2 linked regions of the Rattus norvegicus genome follow. The protein of the gene in region 1 purifies or fractionates together with the protein of each later gene. This does not show direct contact. Links are inferred from orthologs where the notes say so. Each region holds a gene or a part of one and is shown on either strand. Other genes may lie near its edges. The genes, in order: Pidd1 and Casp2.

The links.
Region 2: the proteins of Pidd1 (region 1) and Casp2 purify together in Homo sapiens (affinity purification with western blotting; 5 studies listed by BioGRID and IntAct, with this or other methods). This does not show direct contact. The link is inferred for Rattus norvegicus from reciprocal best matches to the Homo sapiens genes PIDD1 and CASP2.

Annotation. Positions count from the first base shown.
Region 1 is NC_086019.1:205,968,714-205,973,211, forward strand, and holds the start of Pidd1 (p53-induced death domain-containing protein 1), read right to left. Parts: upstream 2,888-4,498; 5' UTR 2,810-2,887; coding exon 2,500-2,809; intron 2,081-2,499; coding exon 1,667-2,080; intron 1,395-1,666; exon of another isoform or gene 1,382-1,394; coding exon 1,172-1,381; intron 1,089-1,171; coding exon 1,034-1,088; intron 933-1,033; coding exon 731-932; intron 654-730; coding exon 522-653; intron 417-521; coding exon 237-416; intron 165-236; coding exon 17-164; intron 1-16. UniProt on the Homo sapiens protein: Component of the DNA damage/stress response pathway that functions downstream of p53/TP53 and can either promote cell survival or apoptosis.
Region 2 is NC_086022.1:72,115,111-72,119,454, reverse strand, and holds the start of Casp2 (caspase-2), read right to left. Parts: upstream 3,099-4,344; 5' UTR 3,093-3,098; coding exon 3,019-3,092; intron 669-3,018; coding exon 518-668; intron 265-517; coding exon 97-264; intron 1-96. Other genes in the region: Tmem139 (transmembrane protein 139), read right to left, coding at 4,092-4,344. UniProt on the Homo sapiens protein: Is a regulator of the cascade of caspases responsible for apoptosis execution. Might function by either activating some proteins required for cell death or inactivating proteins necessary for cell survival.

The sequences.
Region 1 (4,498 bases):
TGGCATGCAGCTTCACCTGTAACACCGGGGGGCAAGGGCAACTGCACAGTGACAGGTTGTAGGAAGCTGGGGGGTCCGCTCTGGGAAAGGCACAGCAAGGGGCTCACTGCCGCCTCTGACTCTTCCAGAAGGGCTCTCAGCTCTAGTCCAGCCATATGCACTACCTGGATGGAGAACCATTTCAGTGCCCTCTTGTACGCTGACGCACCTCCTGCCACCCTTGCCCTGCCCAATACCTGCATGGAGACTTGCCGGGGCTCTTCTGTGACCCCAGGGGGAAAAGTGACTTTGACCCCAGGATGACCTGAGGAGCACAGAAGTGCTCCCTCTGGTGGTAATAGGCAGGTGTTGGATACTGGGCGTAAAACGACCAGGAACCAGGAGAAGTGGGGCACCTGGCAGCGAGCCCAACGCCTCTGGAACATAAGGGAAGATAAGGTCAGGGCAGGAGACAGTGGGCGGGTTGGGTGGTGTCAGGATCAGCTGTTCTCCCCTATGCCCTAGGGCCTGGCAGCTGTCACCTTGGGGGCCTCTTCCTCCAGGTGGGTCTCTAGGTCATTCCAGATGTTGTCACTCCGTGTTCTCACAACTACCTCACGGCAACGACGGACTCGGACTCGTGGGGGGACAAAGAGCAGCCATAAGCTCACATTCTGTCAGGCAACAGTAGTATGTGAGACAGGGCCAGGCTTCAGCCACCATACCTGCCCCCTACCTATCCTGTACATGCCTGCTGGAAAGCCACCCCATGAGGCTGCAGCTCCAGGACACCACTAAGCAGGAAGTCATGAGGTCCCAGAGAGACTAGGCCTGGCTCAGGCAACCACAGTCGATAGTGGATGGTGATAGGTGTGGTGGTGGCTCCTGCTGGGAACTGTAGGCGGACACCACAGGCCAGGGTCACAGAACAGCCATGGGGAGTCACAAGGAAGCTGGGTAAGAAAAGAGGTATGAGGGCTGAAAGATGAGGTACCCCAGTGTGGCCTGAGAAGCAGGGTAGACAGATGTGTTCTAGCCACATTCTCACCAATACCTGTCCAAGTCTGAGGTCAGGAATAGCCTGGGCATTTCTGGAACCTGGGAAATGTCTGCACAAGGGACAGGCATATGGTCAGAATGATGATGTGCCTTTCCCCTCTTATAGCCTGGCCGTGCCCCATGCCAAGCTTACCTGGGGGACTTGGGGGTGCAGGAGAGGCCTCGCCCAGAGGGTTCCCCTGCAGGCGCACAAAGGGAGCGTCTAGTAGCTCGGCAGGTAGGTCTCTGAGCTGGTTGTCCCTCAGGTCAAGCCGAGTGATCAGTGGCAGGTGGGCCAAGCCAGGGGGCACCGAGGTCAAGAGGTTGCTGTGCAGAACAAGGAGCCGCAGGGACCGCAGCCCCGCTGTAGGCAAGTGCTGGCTTAGGGTTACTCATGGTGGCCCTGGTCACCTTGACAAGACACTCAAACTAAAGGCTTCAATGTCACATGTGAATTATAGGCAACCAAGGAGGTAGAAGGAAAGGGGCCAGGCACAGCACACAGGGGCCTCTGTGGAAGAGGAGGGAGGGGGCCAGAGTCCAAAGATTTTAGGTAGCATGGGGCCATGTGGGAGTGGAGCTCTGGAGAGTAGCTGAGGATTGCTCGAAACTGGCTGGTAATAAAAAAGCTGAGGCCATGGCTACTCACCAAGGGAAGCTGGGAGATGCTGCAGCCGGTTGGAGGCCAGATTGAGCTCCCTGAGGCTGCTCAGGTCTCCAATCTCAGACGGGATGGTGTCTAGAAGGTTCTCGGAGAGATCAAGACGCTGAAGGGTGGACAGGGACCCCAGTGTTGGGGGTAGTCTTTCCAGGAGGTTGTGTGTCACAGTGAGGAAGGTGAGGGTAGGCAGTGCCCCCAGGGCCTCTGGCAGCTCTGAGAGACAGTTGTGAGAAAGCAGCAAGGCATCCAAGCTGTGCAGTTCCAGGACACAGGTCGGCAGTGTCTCCAGCCTGTTGAAGCTCAGGTCTAGGTGGGCCAGGCAGGCTAAGTCTCTCATGCTAGCAGGCAGAGTGGTTAGGGTACCATGGAGGCAAGCACCCAGGGCACCCCGACTCTGGCCACCTGGAAGTGGGAAAGACAACTATAGCCCTCGGGATGAAGTACCCTCCATTCAGCCCTGTCAGAGAAAGCCTGCCTTTTAAGCCAGCCAGAGGTACAGAGAAAGACAGAAAAGCAGACAGAGAAGACACCAGATCATATAAGCTGACAGTATCACTCCAGAAAAACTGGGATCTGCAGAGACCCAACTGGACACCTACAGGGTTCTAGGCTCAGGAGTCAGGGCCTAGCAAGCCTCACTGTGGGGAGGAAGGTGACAGGGCTAAGGCTAAGGAATAGTTCTAGCGTAGGGGTTCACACCTGAGGTGCAGGGAAAAGAGAGGTCTGGAGCTAGGGCTGGGACAAGGATGGCCTTTGTGACCAAGATGTCGAGTCAAAGCTGGGACAGAGATGAGGACAGGGTCAGGAGCAAGGGTACTCACCTTTGAGGACCAGGGAGCGAAGGCGCAGTAGACTCCACGGAACCTTGGCTAGGGTGTCATCTAGCAGTCGAGGGTCCTCGTGGGTGCTGAGCCGCAAAAACTCCACTTGCAGCAGCTGTGTGTGCTGCTGGGAACACAGGTACTGCAGCCGACGGCAGCCCCCAGGGCGTAGGTCCAGATTCAACTGGTTCCCAGCCAGGAGAATAGGTACTCCGGGCCTGGAAGCCACAGCCTCCACTGTGGGTCTTGCAGCATCCTCTGCAGCAGCTGCAGTTTCCTCTGGCTTCGGCCCCTCCAACACTGCAGCCATCACCCACAGAAGGTCCTCGGGGACCAGACATGTCCTAGCTTGTCAAGCAAGCCTGCCTAGGCAAGGCTGATGGAAGCTGGAGAAGCAGGGGGAGGAGTAGGCTGTAGGAGACAGGCTCCTCTTCCAGGTCAGAGCAAAAAATAACTGTTTGGAAACCGGGGAGCTCTTAAAACCACCAGCCCGAGAACCCAGGGCACGAGAGGGGCAGAGTGGAGTGGTCACTGCAGCCCTAGGGCTTGCATCTGGGCTGGATTCTTCTGCCTGGGAAGGGCACCAGACAGGGTGACTCTGTGAACAGCATAGCTTGGAGAATCCTGCTAGACCAAGGATAAGAATTGTTTCCTACCTCAATTCTGGAATCTGACCATGTGACCGCTGACCCCACCTACAGGACTCTTGTAATAGGGACCCACTTTTTACCTTCATACCCAAATGTTTGGGGAAAACCCATGACCCTCCTCCACTGCAGGCGTCACTGTGCCCGAGAGGGTCAGTAAACAGTGCGAAGGGGAACCAAGAGGACTTTGCGGTTCTTGAGCTAGGATCTCAAATCGCGATCTCTAGCAGAAGCACTTGAGCCACAATTCCCAATTCACACCTCTGTCAAATGGGGAACGCAGAGAGGGTCTCAGTAGGTGTGGAGTCGCTTTGGTCCCGCCTCTGGAACAAACTTCCCGCCTCCCATTGAGTACCTGCCACGCCGATCTCCCCGCCAGTCTAGGCGCGCTCCACACTGTCTTCCCGCCGGCGCGCTTCCGGGCGGGCGGCCCCTCCGGCTCCGCCTCTCCAGGCCAGCCAGTAGGAGTTTTCCCGAACTCTTACTGCCATTTCCTTTTCGGTTTTCTGCACCAGGGAGTCAGGTGACCTGCAGGGAAACTCACACTTTCAGATCTCTGCAGCCCTTCCAGACCTGTGATGGCACTGCATAGTCTGGTCCCCAAGTGCATTCTAAGACAGTAATTTGAGGGATAACTTAGGGTATTGTCACACTCCTTGCCAGAAGCTAGAACTTTGAATGCCGGACGGACGTTTAGCCGGTACCAAGGACTTCCTGGGGGAACCACTCTAGGAAAGTAGTTCTCAACTTGTAGGTCGTGACCCCTCTGCCAAACTTATATCTCCAAAAGATATTTACACTACAATTTATAACAGTAGCAAAATTAGTTATGAAGTAGCATCGAGAATACTTTCATGGTTGGGGTCACGAAATGTGAGAACTGTCAAAGCATTAAGAAGGTTGAGAACCAGAGTCGAGGACTTGCCTCTCAGGCTTTGCAGTTAACTCCAGCTTTCCGAGTTCAGATGCTTTCCCACTGAACATCACTGTGGGCCAACTGCCTAGTTGGTGAGTTTATTGGCCTTTCCTCCCTGACTTGTGTGGATCTCACAAGAACAAAAAACAAAAGTTTCGATAAGAGATCTTGCCTAAGTCCTTTAGTTGGTGAATACTGAAGCCAACACCCAGAATCCTCCTCAGTGGAGCTGGTGGACTGGAAATGAATAGACATGTTCTACAGTCTAAGTGATGGGCAAGCTTCCTGCTCGCCTCTCTGCTTCCATTCCAGTCCCTGCCTCTTTCTCACTGTTTCCATAAAGCTGCCAGAGAGATCTTTATAAAAACAGCCCCAGGACTTAGTATTACTAATTGTGCTCATCGGCAAGCGGAGAATTGCCATCCTGGGCTGCACG
Region 2 (4,344 bases), on another chromosome or scaffold:
TTAATGAAAATCAAGTTTCTCTCTCCCACACCCTTTGCTCTCTATATTTTCTGGACAAACTAACCCATCCCAGGCTACAGTCCTAGGGCTTCATACCGGTGGGAGTATGTGCTGGATATCAGAGAGGGTTGTGAGCAGTAAGTCTTCCAAGTGACCCTGCCTGGTCTCCCGCAGGGCTTCACAGAAGGCATCAAAAGCCTGGGGTCCTCTCTTTGGCAGCAGGTTGAGGAGTTCCACATTCTGGCTGAAACTGCCCCCTTTGGCCTAAGGCACAGGAATAAAATACTGAATTACATTTATTTATTTAGCCACAATGCTATTTTTCCACATGAGCTTCCTAAGTAGTGTTCTCATTCATCTTGGGAATTCCTGTTTATAGAGTGCGAATACACGGGTGAGATTTTCTATCAAACAAACTCAAGGCTGAGAAGGGCATTCCTCTTCCTTAGCATACCCTTTTCAAAGTCTTTCTTGCCTAAGACCAGTTTCTCTTCTTGGAGCCTTTCTCCCCAGATACCTGGATTAGCTCCCTCATTTCCAAAGTGATAATGTCCTTTTCTAGGAGATGTTCTAACAGTTCGCTCAGCAGCAGCTGTTTGGCCAGCACCACTCGATTCTTTTTCAGAGTTTCCTGATGGTCAGGATGCATTCCACACACTGCCAAAATCCTACAGAGAAAAAGGCAGACACAGGGACTTTCAAGTATGAGCCCGAACACACAAGAGGAGAAAAGAAGTGAGTAAAAAAAACAATAAGCAAGATAAGGCATATTTTGTTAAATCTCTTAAAATAGAAATGTACTAAGCAGTAATAGGCTGACCTATTACTTATTAAGCAAATAAGGTATAACCCTCTAGAGAATGTTTACATCAGACTATCTGAGATAATGATCTCATGAGGAGAGCAAAGAGCTATCTTGGTCAAACTAATGTAAAGAAACACTCCTCTGATAGACAAGCTTCAGTGTTCAGAAAACATGACATACTTTTTATCTTAGAAAACTAACCTAAGTTGAAAATGATCTTAACATAGGAATGAAGTAATAAAAGCCTAAAGCTGACACCCATATTTTTCAGACACACCCGCACACTTGCTCTAGACTGCCCACATAAATTATATCAAAAACATTTTACCTTTTTATGATAAACTAATACTAAAAAGTGATCAAAATCCTACAAGGCATGGGGTAAGTAGAAACTGAGTGAAAGCCATAGGAGGCAGATACCAATGGTGAACATGGTGTCACTTGTAATCACAAGAATAGTGCAAGCAATGGTTAAATTATTTTGGTAATTTAGTTTCCAGCAACAAATGTATTTGAAAGGTTCCCTAGTTTTTCTCTCAAATTTGAAGAGACCTGCTTATGCTCATGAATAAAAGAATCCCATTTCCAATAAATACCCTATATGTGCCCAGTGTTTGTGTGTGCATGCATGTGTGTGCGTGTGTGTATGTCACACACACGCACACACACTCTGATCTCCAGTTTATTTAGTATGAGACAATGCTTAGGGTCTGATGACAATAGAGTGATAGATAGTATAACAGTTCACTTTATACACCAAGAATCCTGATTTCAATGTGGGTAAAATATAGGGGAACAAAGAAGCATCTTCCATCGCTGAAAAACCATGCTCTGGTCAAATGCCCCTCTCACAAAGGCTCCTTTAAGTCCTTTCTGTGGAAAGTTAGATAGCAAAATAGGGTCCTGGGAAAAATGCATGAACAAGAGGTATCCAGGCAGAGTAAGTATTCAGACTGTACCAGCTATTTCAAAATTCACTAGAATCTGCTCTACATGAATTTAAAATCTCAGTTAAAAATCACCATACAAGACAACACAGTAATGATGTTAAATATAGAATCTGGCGAAGACAAAATTAATCTTCTTGCAGCTGTTAGTTGGGTATATCCTTAGGTACACGATGCATGATATAGCAGACTTATTTCATTAGGGACATCGTTGCTTAAAAGGCTCCATTCCCTTGACTTTCACTCTACTAGTCTCTCCAGGTTCACTCTGCTCACCGTGCTCCGGTTTCCTAGTGAGCATCTGACTTCTCCTCCACCACCTCATTCTCTTTGACAGGACTAGGCCAGGAGACCAAACTGGTCTTGAGTTTCTGATCCTCTTGCCTCAGGCATCAGGATACTAGGATTACAGCCCGGTAGCTTTTAAATGCTGACATTGCACTAGAACTCCCTTGCAAAAAACAGGAGGGGGCGGGCATCTTCTCTAGACAATTTCATCCCCAGGCACAATTTACTGATTCTATTCTAAATCCTCTTATGTCCCAGGCTTGAATTTTGAACGAAGCAGTCATCGATGTTTTATCTGAAGCACCACCTACTCCCCGCACCTGCTACTTCCTTTTATTTCAAACTACCAGGAGAAGCTTAAATACGAACTTTCTCGAAGTTTCCAGTCACCTGGAATTTTCGGACACCCAAGGAAAACAGAATGGAGAAAAAGAATACCAAGAGGGTTCTAACGTCTTGATTTCATGTCCTTTAATGGCTCCCGTTTCTAAATTAATGTTAGAGGATTGGACAGGAAATATTAAATTGTGTCGTCCTGTGCAAATGTTTTCATCGAAACTGACTGAGTGAGACGGAGAAACGGGAACCATCTAATCCTCTCAAAAGATTCAAATCCCCCAAACCTGTGTGGAATTCTCTGACAAACATTTATTATATGGAAAAGCAGTCCAGGACATGATATAGTCAATCCTAATCAAATGCGCTCGAGGCCAAGCCGCGAAGTCTGCACAGTCTCTGCTTTTTAAAGAGACATGAGTTTAAGTCCTCAGATAAGAATTGGAAGGAAAAGGACAGAGCATCTCTGGAAAAGGTGAGATGCCGCAGGCGACATGTGGCAGGACTGATAAGATCCATTCTCGTATAGATTCCTCTGCGCTGGACAAAGAAAGGGAGGCTGCTACAGCTTCTGCACACGCGGGACCAGGCCAAGAAGGCGCGCCGCTCGCTCGGCAGCCTCCCCGACTCTGCCCTCCTCACCTGCTCCTCCTGTCAGCCGCCATCAGCCCCTTCCTGTGCAGGGAAGACTGAGACCTCCCGCTCGACGCCGCCATTTCCAGCTTTTCCCGGGCTGCACCCGCACCACCCACAAAACAAACAAACGGGCCGCGCCAGCCCCCGCATCCCTCCCCCAGCCCCCGCCAGCGCCGCGCCTGCGCACGGCCCCGCCCCGAGTCAGCAAGCCCCACCCACGCCCGGACATGCGCAAGCGCACACTTGTCGCTGAGGCTCGCACAGCCCAATGGGAAGAGAGTAGACTCTAGGAAGAACGGGAAGAGGCGGGAAAAGAACAAGGTTTCTCCCACTCGGGGATCTGATTGGCTAGCGATTCCCGCGGAAACCGCAGCTCCCTCCCCTGGTTCCTCCGGTCCCTCCGGCCTCAACTACCAGGAAACCAAAGGGGCTGGGCTTCTCTTGTTATCCTTGCTCGCCTTGAACTTCCAGGGCCAGGGTGCAAGAAAAATGGAAAGCACTAGGAGGCGCTCTTCTCCCAGGCTGGGGGCGCTTCAGGTCGCGCTTCTCCTACCCTGTTTCCTCTCATTCTGTCTCTATTTAGACTTCTCTTATCTACCAGTTGTCCCCAGTAATGCGGATTGCCTGGTTGGTATTGAAAACAATAGGCACTGGAATTGGGATTCGATTCGAGTTATTTTTATGTTTTTACTAGCATCCCGTTCTTGCGCAAACTTTTCAGCTCCCCTCACCCTTAGAATCTCTCATCCCCATCAGGAATCTCAGCGAGACTTGGTGTCTGCAGTAGAAGAAACACAACTGTCACTCCGAGGTACCCCTCCAGCTTCTCTTGGTAACTTATCTCTCTCTTCTTCCACCTTACGCTGGAAGTACTGCTCGTCAGGTAGGCTCCAGAATGTTTCCAGAAGAATCCAGGTATGCCATTTATATCTCGACTGTGAAGGACATTCCGGAGCCCAACTCCCCACTGCTTTGAAGGCATCAATTGTGATGTTTGGGCAAAACCAACTTCTGATTCAATAGATATTAGGAAATGCTGGGCAAATGAGTTCACAGGTGATAGGTTCTGAGAGCATCGCTTAGGGAAGTATCCATTTATCTTCATAGAAAACACTGTCATCATCAGGGTGAGCAAAACCGATTTCATAGGCAGGGGGTGGAGTATTAGGCTCCAGTTTTGGGGCCACCCTCAAGCTTTGCAGATCAGGAGCAGTGGACACAACTCGTGGACCCCTAAGTCGAAGAGCTCTTCCAGGGTTTCCTCTGGGCGTCATTGTCCCCTCTGAGCCCACTCGCCTTTTCTGACTGCCTGTGTCAGGCCTCTCTGGTTGG